Linked DNA regions of Neodiprion lecontei. The protein of the gene in region 2 binds, or shares a complex with, the protein of the main gene of each other region. Links are inferred from orthologs where the notes say so. Each region holds a gene or a part of one and is shown on either strand. Other genes may lie near its edges. The genes, in order: Fanconi anemia group J protein and DNA topoisomerase 2-binding protein 1-B.

What was found.
Region 1: the proteins of DNA topoisomerase 2-binding protein 1-B (region 2) and Fanconi anemia group J protein are in contact, whole or in part, in a crystal structure (PDB 3AL3), measured with the Homo sapiens proteins. The link is inferred for Neodiprion lecontei from reciprocal best matches to the Homo sapiens genes TOPBP1 and BRIP1. Residues at the interface, in NP_008958.2 of Homo sapiens: Leu1272, Ser1273, Ser1274, Leu1275, Asn1276, Pro1277, Arg1280, Gln1298, His1311, Leu1313, Arg1314, Asn1315, Glu1316, Lys1317, Leu1319, Gln1366, Arg1407, Gly1410, Phe1411, Leu1414, Thr1466, Glu1467, Ile1469, Ala1470; in NP_114432.2 of Homo sapiens: Ser1129, Tyr1131, Phe1132, Thr1133, Pro1134, Glu1135, Leu1136, Tyr1137, Asp1138.

The regions. Positions count from the first base shown.
Region 1 is NC_060262.1:26,772,594-26,777,895, forward strand, and holds the start of Fanconi anemia group J protein, read right to left. Parts: upstream 3,233-5,302; 5' UTR 3,110-3,232; coding exon 3,018-3,109; intron 104-3,017; coding exon 1-103. UniProt on the Homo sapiens protein: DNA-dependent ATPase and 5'-3' DNA helicase required for the maintenance of chromosomal stability. Acts late in the Fanconi anemia pathway, after FANCD2 ubiquitination.
Region 2 is NC_060264.1:28,710,574-28,715,473, forward strand, and holds the start of DNA topoisomerase 2-binding protein 1-B, read right to left. Parts: upstream 3,003-4,900; 5' UTR 2,524-3,002; intron 2,327-2,523; 5' UTR 2,314-2,326; coding exon 2,191-2,313; intron 1,970-2,190; coding exon 1,830-1,969; intron 1,591-1,829; coding exon 1,455-1,590; intron 1,107-1,454; coding exon 999-1,106; intron 908-998; coding exon 704-907; intron 31-703; coding exon 1-30. Other genes in the region: uncharacterized protein LOC124294485, read left to right, coding at 3,980-4,900. UniProt on the Homo sapiens protein: Scaffold protein that acts as a key protein-protein adapter in DNA replication and DNA repair. Composed of multiple BRCT domains, which specifically recognize and bind phosphorylated proteins, bringing proteins together into functional combinations.

The DNA.
Region 1 (5,302 bases), on a different chromosome or scaffold from region 2:
CAAATTTGAGGCGGAGCTCTGCTCGGTCAACAAGTCACTGTCTTCATCATTCGTTATATTTAAGGCATCCTGCGCGATGCGTGGATTGAATTTTCCAGCCATCCTGAAACCGATTTCTTATCAATTACCGAATCGTTGAATACGACTCTTCGTTTTTAATCAAATCATTCAACAACCAACCAATTGATAAAGAAAAACTCTGTACCGAAGGTAGCGGAATCGAAACAAACAAGAATATGTAAAAGGGTTTCGCGAGGGAGTAGAAACTTCTGGAGTTCTGGAAACTTTGGAAGAAAGTCGAGTAACAGGTGCGCAAGTACAGAACTTAGACTCGACTCTAAAATTTTTAATGACGCAAGCTCCGCGTCAAGCACGCCGGCGGATTCATTGAGCATTTTCAAAGCTGTAAATTTTCTCCAAGAACAAAACTCCGCAGTATCTTCATAAATAAAATTCTAGGTTATTTCTTTCCCACCTTCAACTTGGATTCAAATCTTCATTCATAGGTACAGTAAAAAGAGTGCACAATATATAAGATGTCTCGTGTGGTGTCGCAATAAAAGTCCTGCACCTGAAAACGAGCGATGCTTTATAATAACAGCGGAAAGCCTTTTCTACATGAATTAGGGTAAGTACTTGACAAATGCCGCGTACGTACACGGGAAGCGGAGGTAAGGAAAATGAAAAAAATTAGGAAGATGTACAAGAAGACACTCTAAGACGACGATAATCGAGACGAACGTTTCGGCGTTTCGCGCTGCACATGGCATTTCTCGACACGCTACATCCTCTGCCAGCTGTGTCGCGGGCTCATTTTTCTTTACAACGTCGTTGAATGGACTGCACCGCGTGTCGTATATTTCACTGTGCACTCGCAAGACGACAAGTTCCGATGGAATATAGGTGCATAAAGTGATCGTTATATTTCTACACCGCAATTCCATCGCATGCAGTTGTCCCTTTCACACATGCTCGATACTGCTGAATTCGAGTTGTAGGATACATTTGACACCGGAGTAGCTTGCCATATGTCGATCTGAGGCAATACGGAGTGAAAAAAGGGTTGACAAGGAAAAACTGGGGCTTTAACCTGTCAGAAGTTGGTTCAATTTCATTTCGGAATTCCCCAAGCAATGGAAGTTCGTTTCGTTGTTCTTCTTACGCGACTAATTGCGGCAACTAATTTCGTTCCAGTAGTCACGAAGTGATAATGGAATCGCGTATTATTCCTCACTTGTTTTCCACATTTTTCTAACATTTATAAATAAATTTATTCGTTTTTCAACTACGAATTCTTTACAAAGTCTGTATTTTTCACCCAAAAACGCTCTTTCGCTGCGTGAAAAAAATTTACTGAGAAACCGGATTCATCTCAAATTACTGACCGCTGAAATTTTTTCAAACAATATTGTTCCTCTCAATTAATGTGTTTAAATATCCAAATATTACGGCATCTTGATCCAGAAACGCATTTGAATTTATCTCAATAAAATGAGTTAAAAAGTAGGGGTGGTCAGAGATATTAAATCAAAATTACAGTCTTTTTGGATCAAAAATATTTTTGAAGGTGTTTCATGATTTGAAAATAATTCTCATAAGTCAGTCTAATTCGTAATTCCTTTTTTTGACGCCATTGAAGTTCGTAACGTTGATGGCACAATTTATTTTTAGGAAAAATTGTCATTCCATCAGAAAAGTATCAGCTGACTACAAAAACCGTAATAAAAGATTGCATAATTCTATTTTGAAAACACATCTCCTGAATTAATTACTCTAAAATAGCGAAATATTAAATAAATATTACAATTTGAATATATTCTTTCAAGTGAACCTTACTGACTCCAACCTTATTTTTTTTTCCTTTCTTTTTTTCTTTGAATGATTGAATTACGCGTTAACGACTTTTTTAATTTTTCAAATCATTCTATTTTGGTTTCTCCTCAATAACTGTGTGTAATTTCACGGTGAATGAATACAGGAAAAATATTGTCAACAATTCTAACGATGCGTTGGACTGGAAATCGACCATAACATAACATTTAATTACTCATAATTGGTAAATTGAAGCGTAAAATGCTTCTAAAAATGTCGTTTAAACGGACAAATAGATATGTTTACTTCAATTCTAGCTTAAAATGAAATTTGTAAAATAGGTATGCGAAATGAATTATCAAATGTCGAATGGTATTGTATACTGTAAATATTATTATCAGGGTTTTTCTACTACTAACCAACCAGGACTCTGCGGCTTTCAAATTATTCATATTTAATTCAGCGCTTAACAAATACTGTCGGTGGTATGTGCATGAAATTTCTTACGCTACGCTCCAGATAGGATACAAGCAAACATTACATTACAGTTTCAGAGCTCGTTACATTAAACGAAGATTTTGCAATTCCAACATAATTTAGTCGAATCAGAGGGAATCGTTCTTTTTCGAAAATTTTTATAAAATTGTACGATCTATTTGAACAGAGATATTCGACACGTGACCGACGCTGAATGCAGTACCTAAATCTTACACAATATCGAATAAAAAAAAATTGAAAATGCACGTACAAATCTGATCTAAATGGCGAATGCAAAACAGCAAATACACAATGAATTTTAATTAACGATTTCAAGCGTTACTCCGCCCTCGTTCAAAAATGTTCCACGAATGCGCGGTTAAACGTAAGCACCAATAGGTGGACGTTGCCATGACACACGCCACGACCTCGTGTACAGGAGAAATCCGTGGCGTACACATATGAAGCAAAATAAAGCTACGCATGCGTCTCTCTGACTCCGCGCGACCACGCGACTCGATGTGTCGTTGACTGATGCACGCGGATAAGGCCAAACGAGAGGAACGGAGTGACACGGGCTGATAATGCGAGCAGCAAGCTCGCCGTAAGGCCACGAGTGGCGACGATGACGATGAGAGATGGAGCGATAATATACACAGATAAGATAGGGGGGAGCGATACGGGGTGCGAATCTAACCTCAAACGTCAAGATTTTAGCGAATACTCACGGTGACGGAGGATCGAGGCGCCGTCTTACGAAGGCGAGGGATCCTGAGTAGACACAGACGATGATGAATATCGCTGCCAGAACGATGATCATCGCCCGGTGATGACCTATCTGCTGGTTTGTCGGCGAACGCCGAAGGTAAACATTGAGGTTAGAGGACACAAATAGCCGGAGCTTAGCGGGGCCGACTTTCGCTCGGCACTCGACGCTTCGACGTTCGACCGTCGTTCGGGAGAATCGATTCCTCGACACTCGGCGCGGGACACACGACAAGTTTCGAATTTCGAACGCCACGCAACGGAAAGAGAGTAGCACAGGCACGCGAATAACGCGACTTGTTCGGCGGACTAGACGATCGTACTTGTGTAAACATGAGGAATACGAATCTGGGGTCAGAATTGTTCCGTTACACACAGATTTTGAGTCGTGTATGGGGTATTCCACTATAATTTGAACACCGAAGTATTTGGGGTGACGGAGCGATTCTGACTACGGATTCGGGTTCAGTATTTGCAACGATATATCGAGATGTGATCTAATCCACCGGACAAGTGTTTTTCGTGATTTCTTTTTTGTGTTATTACCCGCATATATAACTCAAAATTTAGGGGCGATAGGACGATTCAATTGAACCTATTTTTAACCTATGAATTAATCGCAAGACATGCCTTGATGGATTACGAATCTAATAGCATTCGTCGTTAAGTTGAAACTTGGAATTTTTGTTTAAAAATAATAAAGGAATTTATTACATCATTCATGTGTTTATATATTTTATGAACTGAGAAACAATTCTCGAAAATAATAGGTATCACTGGATTCTAATATTTCATCGAATGAAGCTACCGCGGTGGTACGACATTTTTTCGAGGATTAACATGATCTGAGTATAATCTAATACGGATTTAAAAGAAAAAATCAAAATATCGAATTCTCGTGCCAGAAAATATGTTTCACGATTACGTTAATAGATCCATTCTAGGCTTCAATCGTATACTCAAGTTTAAATTGAAAATAGATTTTTTCATTCAAGATTCCCAAGCTAATATTACGTTTAATAGAATTATTAAATGCGAGTCATCTCACAACATTGTTCGCTTTTTTTACTTTAATACGTGTGAGATCAACTATATAATATTTATTATATGTATAATAGCTCTGCAAAAAGAGACAATTTAATTTCAAATTATAGTTGTAAAATTTAATACTTGCAATATTGCAACGTCAACATCATTTTTGTGCACAAAAATGTTTTAGAATCGGCTAAAAATAAATATGTACAGGTATTATACAGATGGTTTTGAACCTCCCTTAAAAGCAAAATAAGATCGTGTAGAAGCGATAGTTGTTTATAAGAATTGACACACCTTTCGTTCATTTCAGATACAGATATATGATTCTAAAATTCTGTTAATAACAAAATCTGACTTTTAAATAAAAATACATTAACTATTTCAAAATTGAAGTTTTTTCCAGACATTAGAAAGATTTATATTTTTCTTGTATTACGTCTAAATTCGAAAGAGCAGAATTTCAAAACCTGAAATATCCTAAATTCGGGGATGTAAAAATCTGTAGTATGACATCAGCAAGAAGAAAAACCATTCGGACGACAAGAAATTGTGTTTCCAAAGGGTTGTGGCAATAATTGTTGAAATTCTCCGTATTACGTCTTTACTGGAATATTACCGAAGCACAAACGTAATATTCATACGTAATATGAATATCATAATATATGTATATATGCCTGTTGTATAACGCAGTGTAATTCGAAGTTTCTCCACGAAGTGCTCGATGTTTTCGATACTGTACAATGACACTTTGTATTCAAGGGGCAAAACAATCTTTAAATTTAGGTAACGGGGCGTAAGTTATGTATATCCTTCTATAGATATACGCCTATGTACATCTATCGCCATGGATTACAAGTACGAACTATAGACTGCGGGCCGGGCGTTCTATCCCATAAAATGTATCCAGTCTACGATTGTGTTTAGGGTATAATAGGGGGTTCGGTTTCATTATTGTGAAATGCGTCAAATTGCTCGTGTTACACCCTCCTGGAAGAAAGTGCTCGATTATAAATCACATGCACCGAGTTTATGGTCCACATGATTCAGTTTGTCAAATTATTCTCTTCTTCTTTTCAACGGCGAACCATCCGGCCACCCAATTCTCACTTCATTCCTCCCTACCCAATCATCGTCCAAATATAATACCAACGATTTCGGTACGCGATTTGTTAATCGACTGTCAACACTTTTAAAGAATGGAAAATACTAGCTT
Region 2 (4,900 bases):
TTTGGCACCATCTAAAGCTCCCATAAATATCTGAAAATTAACATGATACTCAGTTATGATTAAATTTAATTTACAGGCAATAAAAGACTTCCAGTGTCAATGTTACAGAGAAAAAGCAAAGTAATAGAAAGCAGTTAGTAAACGTAAGCAGTAATTCATGCCAATAGTACATCTCTAGACTACAAATCATACACACTAAATTAATAAACGCAGTTGAAAACTGTTTTAAATTATTTATGTAAAATATTAGCTTTTTGTCTCATTGAAAAAATGGACAGAATTAAAATGGGACTAAACATCAACATGCACATAAATATACTTTGTATTAAATGAACTATATATGTAATATTTGTCACAAGTCAAACTTCTGTTTATAACCAAATTCAACTTACAGCAAAATTGCATACTGGGTACAGTTTCCCTAGTTTCCTTGCGTTTCCATTATCTAACCGAAAACTAAGGATATGTACACTCTGTATGTAATTTTTGAATAAGTCTGATTCACCATTGGTTAGCGCATTCAAAATTAAGATTCCATTACTTATTTCAATAACGGGATCCAAAAAAGTTAATAAAGTAAACTTTTCGAGAAGATAGTAGAAAATAGTCAATGATGAGGAAAAAAAAAAATAATAGTTGAAAAAGTAGATCGCTCAAAGCTCTGGGCAATGAGAAACATCACACATTGGATGTTAATACTTACCCCACCATTATCAGTGATCAATTGTTTAATCTCTTTTTTTCGCTTAGATAAATTGGTTGAGGTAACAACTAGATTCATGAAGACAGGGCACTTGTATTCGTCAAATCTACTGCTCGTAGCCCGTATATTTTCCACAAGACTTGCTTCCCATACTGCTGTTACCCAATTCTCAGTCATGACTGGTATTTTTTGTTCAACAGCTTTCTAGAAAAGTATAAATGATATCGAAAATTGCTACAATTCGTGTTTGTAAGAGTCGTTGTTAATGTTTTTAGCCATATATAAATATACAGACCTCGTACTTCTCAGACATCACAAAATTTGCAATCAAATGTGTGACACTGTTTCGCAATTGTCGCGAATAAACACCCCCCATGTATTCTACCTTCCTTCCTATATTTTCCTGAAAACAAAAAAATCAGACTCAGAATAATCGATGATTGAATTACCTTTTGTCAACTGTGAGTATATATATGTTTAAATGTCTTTGTTTGCTTAGGAGCACACAGAAGACAATATTTACGCAAAAAATTATCTGTTTTTCTATAAAACACAAAACGATCAATAAAACTTGAACAATAATTTTCACTGAAGGCAATACAATAAAGAACCCTTGTAATTTTTAAATGATCGCAATATAACAATTGCTATTTCATCGGAACAGGATAGTATCATACAAGCATCACAGTTGTTTGCATACCAACTTGCAATTGCCTCTATAATTTGAAAATAATTCGTAGATAATATGTACTTTTGCCTCTGAAGTGAGACCAGACACACTGACAACCAGGCCTCTCATTGCAGTTGTGAATACTGGGCTGGTTCCTTCGGGAATTGGTTCCCCGGTCATGAAACAGCTCAGTAAACATCGCGGTCCAACTATTCTGCTAAAACATAATGAACCATCAGTTGTTACTAGCAGCTTACGTAATTTTTCAACCGAGTTTTCATCGAGCTTTGATATTTATGTGCTGATTTATTATGATAAGTGAAATGAGTTTGTTTGAAGGAAATATTGTATAATGTAAGAAATTCATGACATGCAGATTCAATTTTCTGATTAGAAATGTAAATGGTATGAATACTGTAAATGTTGCTACAATCAACAGCTGTATTAAATTCTTACGAGCATTTAAATTTTTTCAAATGTGCGAACGTTGACCCCTCAAATTCTTCCAATACAAACACGTCCTTCTTTCCTGGTGCTAAGTTGTCGCATAAATTCTCTTTAATCCATTTTGGCGATAATTCGTGTTCGTCGCAGCTCTATAAAATAAAAGTGTGATCAGAAAAAACTTGGAGCATAAAATTTTACCGTGCATATGATTATACTTTGTAGTTTATCCTGTGAAATCAATTATTTGCACTATTTGCAGAAAATTAAATCTTCAGAATCACAAATTGCATTGAACTGCAGTAGGTGATTTATGGTTGAATGTCAGCAAATACCCATGAAATTTTTAGTATGGTTAAACAGATATACTTACATTAAATGCATGCCACATGTCGCTTGAGCAATCGTTCTCATCTTTCTGATCTCTCGTTATGACAAAATATATGTTCAAATCGGAGTCCACCTGACTTCCTTCGCTGGTCATTCTGTATTTCATAAATCCAAATCAACTGTAATGTAATGAGAATTTGATCTAAATTGAATTTCTGCTCTAAATTGGCATATAGTTAAATCTACCATTGACAATAATTACTTTGTACTGAACATGGGTTGACCATAAAATACAGAGTGTCATGCCTTATTACTGAAAGTGGAATTGAAGGTAAGAAATGTGTTACAAAAGATTTGAAAAACAAAGAGTTCTTACCTTTAAAATTTTAGATCCGAGTACTTGTAAGTCATAAATTATTATTGACAAGTTACTGGAAACTTATACTTGTGTCTTTGATGTATTGAAAAAATTACCCAAGTTCCAGTTCTCGTGTATTAAACTTATGATAACTCGAATTGAAAATGGTCCGGCGTTTGTAATTTTGAACGTAGAAAAGGCTGCAGAATAGGTTATATTCCTAAAACTACAACGATTCTCAAACTCCAGATAAAAATATGATAAATAACAATTATTGTGATGTAGAGCGATGGCTAAATCATAATAGACAAACATCTATATTCTTGATCTGCCGTCAAGTCAAGTCATTTCATAATGACAATCTCTGTGCCAACCCGGTGAATAATTAAAAAACCAGGATAAACTAACTGCCAATTGGTATAACTAGTATACGGCATTTCCCGCGTCCCGGTCGCTGCTTTACGATATTTTACGATGTTTCACGACGGTTGTGTCAGGAGAGTATTTTCATTCGTGAAATGGATAATGTAAAATGGAGTCGCAATACGCATGCGCGTGACTAATGTTTTTTGATTTTGTAATAATTTTTGGTCGTGGTCACTGATCTCTATATAACACAGATCAGTGCCTGAACTCGACAGCACAAATGAGATAAAAGATTGTTGACAGCACTGGGAGCTAATTTCGGAACGCACCCATGGAAAATGGGAAAAGTGTCCTAGGAAAACCATACTTCCAGAACGCTCTCGGTATTAGATTTCAGAACGGAATCGGAACAATTTTCTAAGTCTCATAGGAAGCGTTGGCTAAAAAATTAAAAGACGCTTACCCCTTTCATACTTAGTCTAGAAACGTTTACAATCGTTTCTAAAAGGATTGTTAGCAAATTTCTGTGAGCAGTACTCGGCGGGTAAGTGTGCCTGGGGCCATAAGGAGCCATATTAGCGATCAGGTCGATTTTTTACCGCTGAAAGTTAACACGCAATTCGCAAGCACTCAAAATCCTTTTAACGTAACTGCTTTAACAGCTTTACTCAACGCATAAAGCAATGAATTAGTCGAATTTAACTAATGATATCGCTTTGTGTTAAGGCGTGACTGAAAATCTTGATAAGTCTATGGGGAATACACAACTTCTCGCGCCGTGGAAAAAACCGGGGGAATCCCATCAGTCTTACGACACTTGATCACATCATTGCAGAGTGGCGGTATAGGAGGGAAACGAGAAGCCTGGCCAATTGTGAGCCCGCGTCTTTGCTCATTCCACGCTTAGTTCTTATCGTAGTACTCGTAAACGATATTTTCTGTCCTACAAGAAGGTGGTAGAATAGCGAAATAACTATTTAAAAGTAGTGATTGTTCTTTTAATATTGTGACATTGTTTATTTCAATTAGAAAAAAATCAGTGAAAGTACTAGAAACAGCACCAGCATTGAAGAAATAGCCACAAAGTCACTGACGAAGACAAAGGAACATGGCATCTGCGGACGATCAATTGGAAGATCCTCTCGATTTTGAGACTCCGGAGATTGAGATCAAGTTAACGGAAATGAAGACAGCACGATATTTTACGATAACAACCGACAGCTACATATCGTTGTGCTCTCGCGTTTACGCTGCACTGTGCGCTGAAAACCCAGAATTTTCTGCCAATTTCTCAGAATCAGTTTTTCAATATTATGCTGTCATTCATTTGTGGATGCGGTTTGCAGCGGTTCTTCCTAATTCGATGCAGAGGACATCACATCAGTTTCTGGCTGAAATGTACAAGCTAAACAACGAATCATGGCACGTACCCAAGCCATTGCTAACATATTTGAAGGGAATTGGAAATTTTCGTGATGTTGACAATTGCGAGAGACAGTTTCAGTTGCCAGTATTACCAACCCATGAATCCATCGGTGGAGTCAAATACACATTTGGAAAAATAAACGCCAATACACATCACTCTTATGAAGCTTTTCCAGCCCCTGGAATTGCGGCTCTGCGCATACAGGCTGATATTAAGTACACAGAAAATGTTTGTAATGAAAATTTATTTTGGGATTTACCTGATGATCTTCGTCCGGATGTAATAGATTCTCGTGTAAAATCTTGTAATCCAACTAAAAACCTTTTGGGTTGGGCTCCTGCACAAGAACTGACCTCTAAACAATTGGACCTATGTCAGGGGCTGGATATGAATGAATTTCTAAGCAACAAGGTTTCAACTTTAAGCTCGCATACCCTTGAGCTGTTACGATCAATTTCTAATTACCTGTGCCCTAAAAAAGAGGAAGATGATAGTGACTGTTCGCTGTGCCAAACTTTCGATACTCTTCCTCAGAATGGCTCACTAGTTCAGGGAACATTTGTTGAAAAACATGATAAATTCGTCAAATTCGATAGGTCTGCC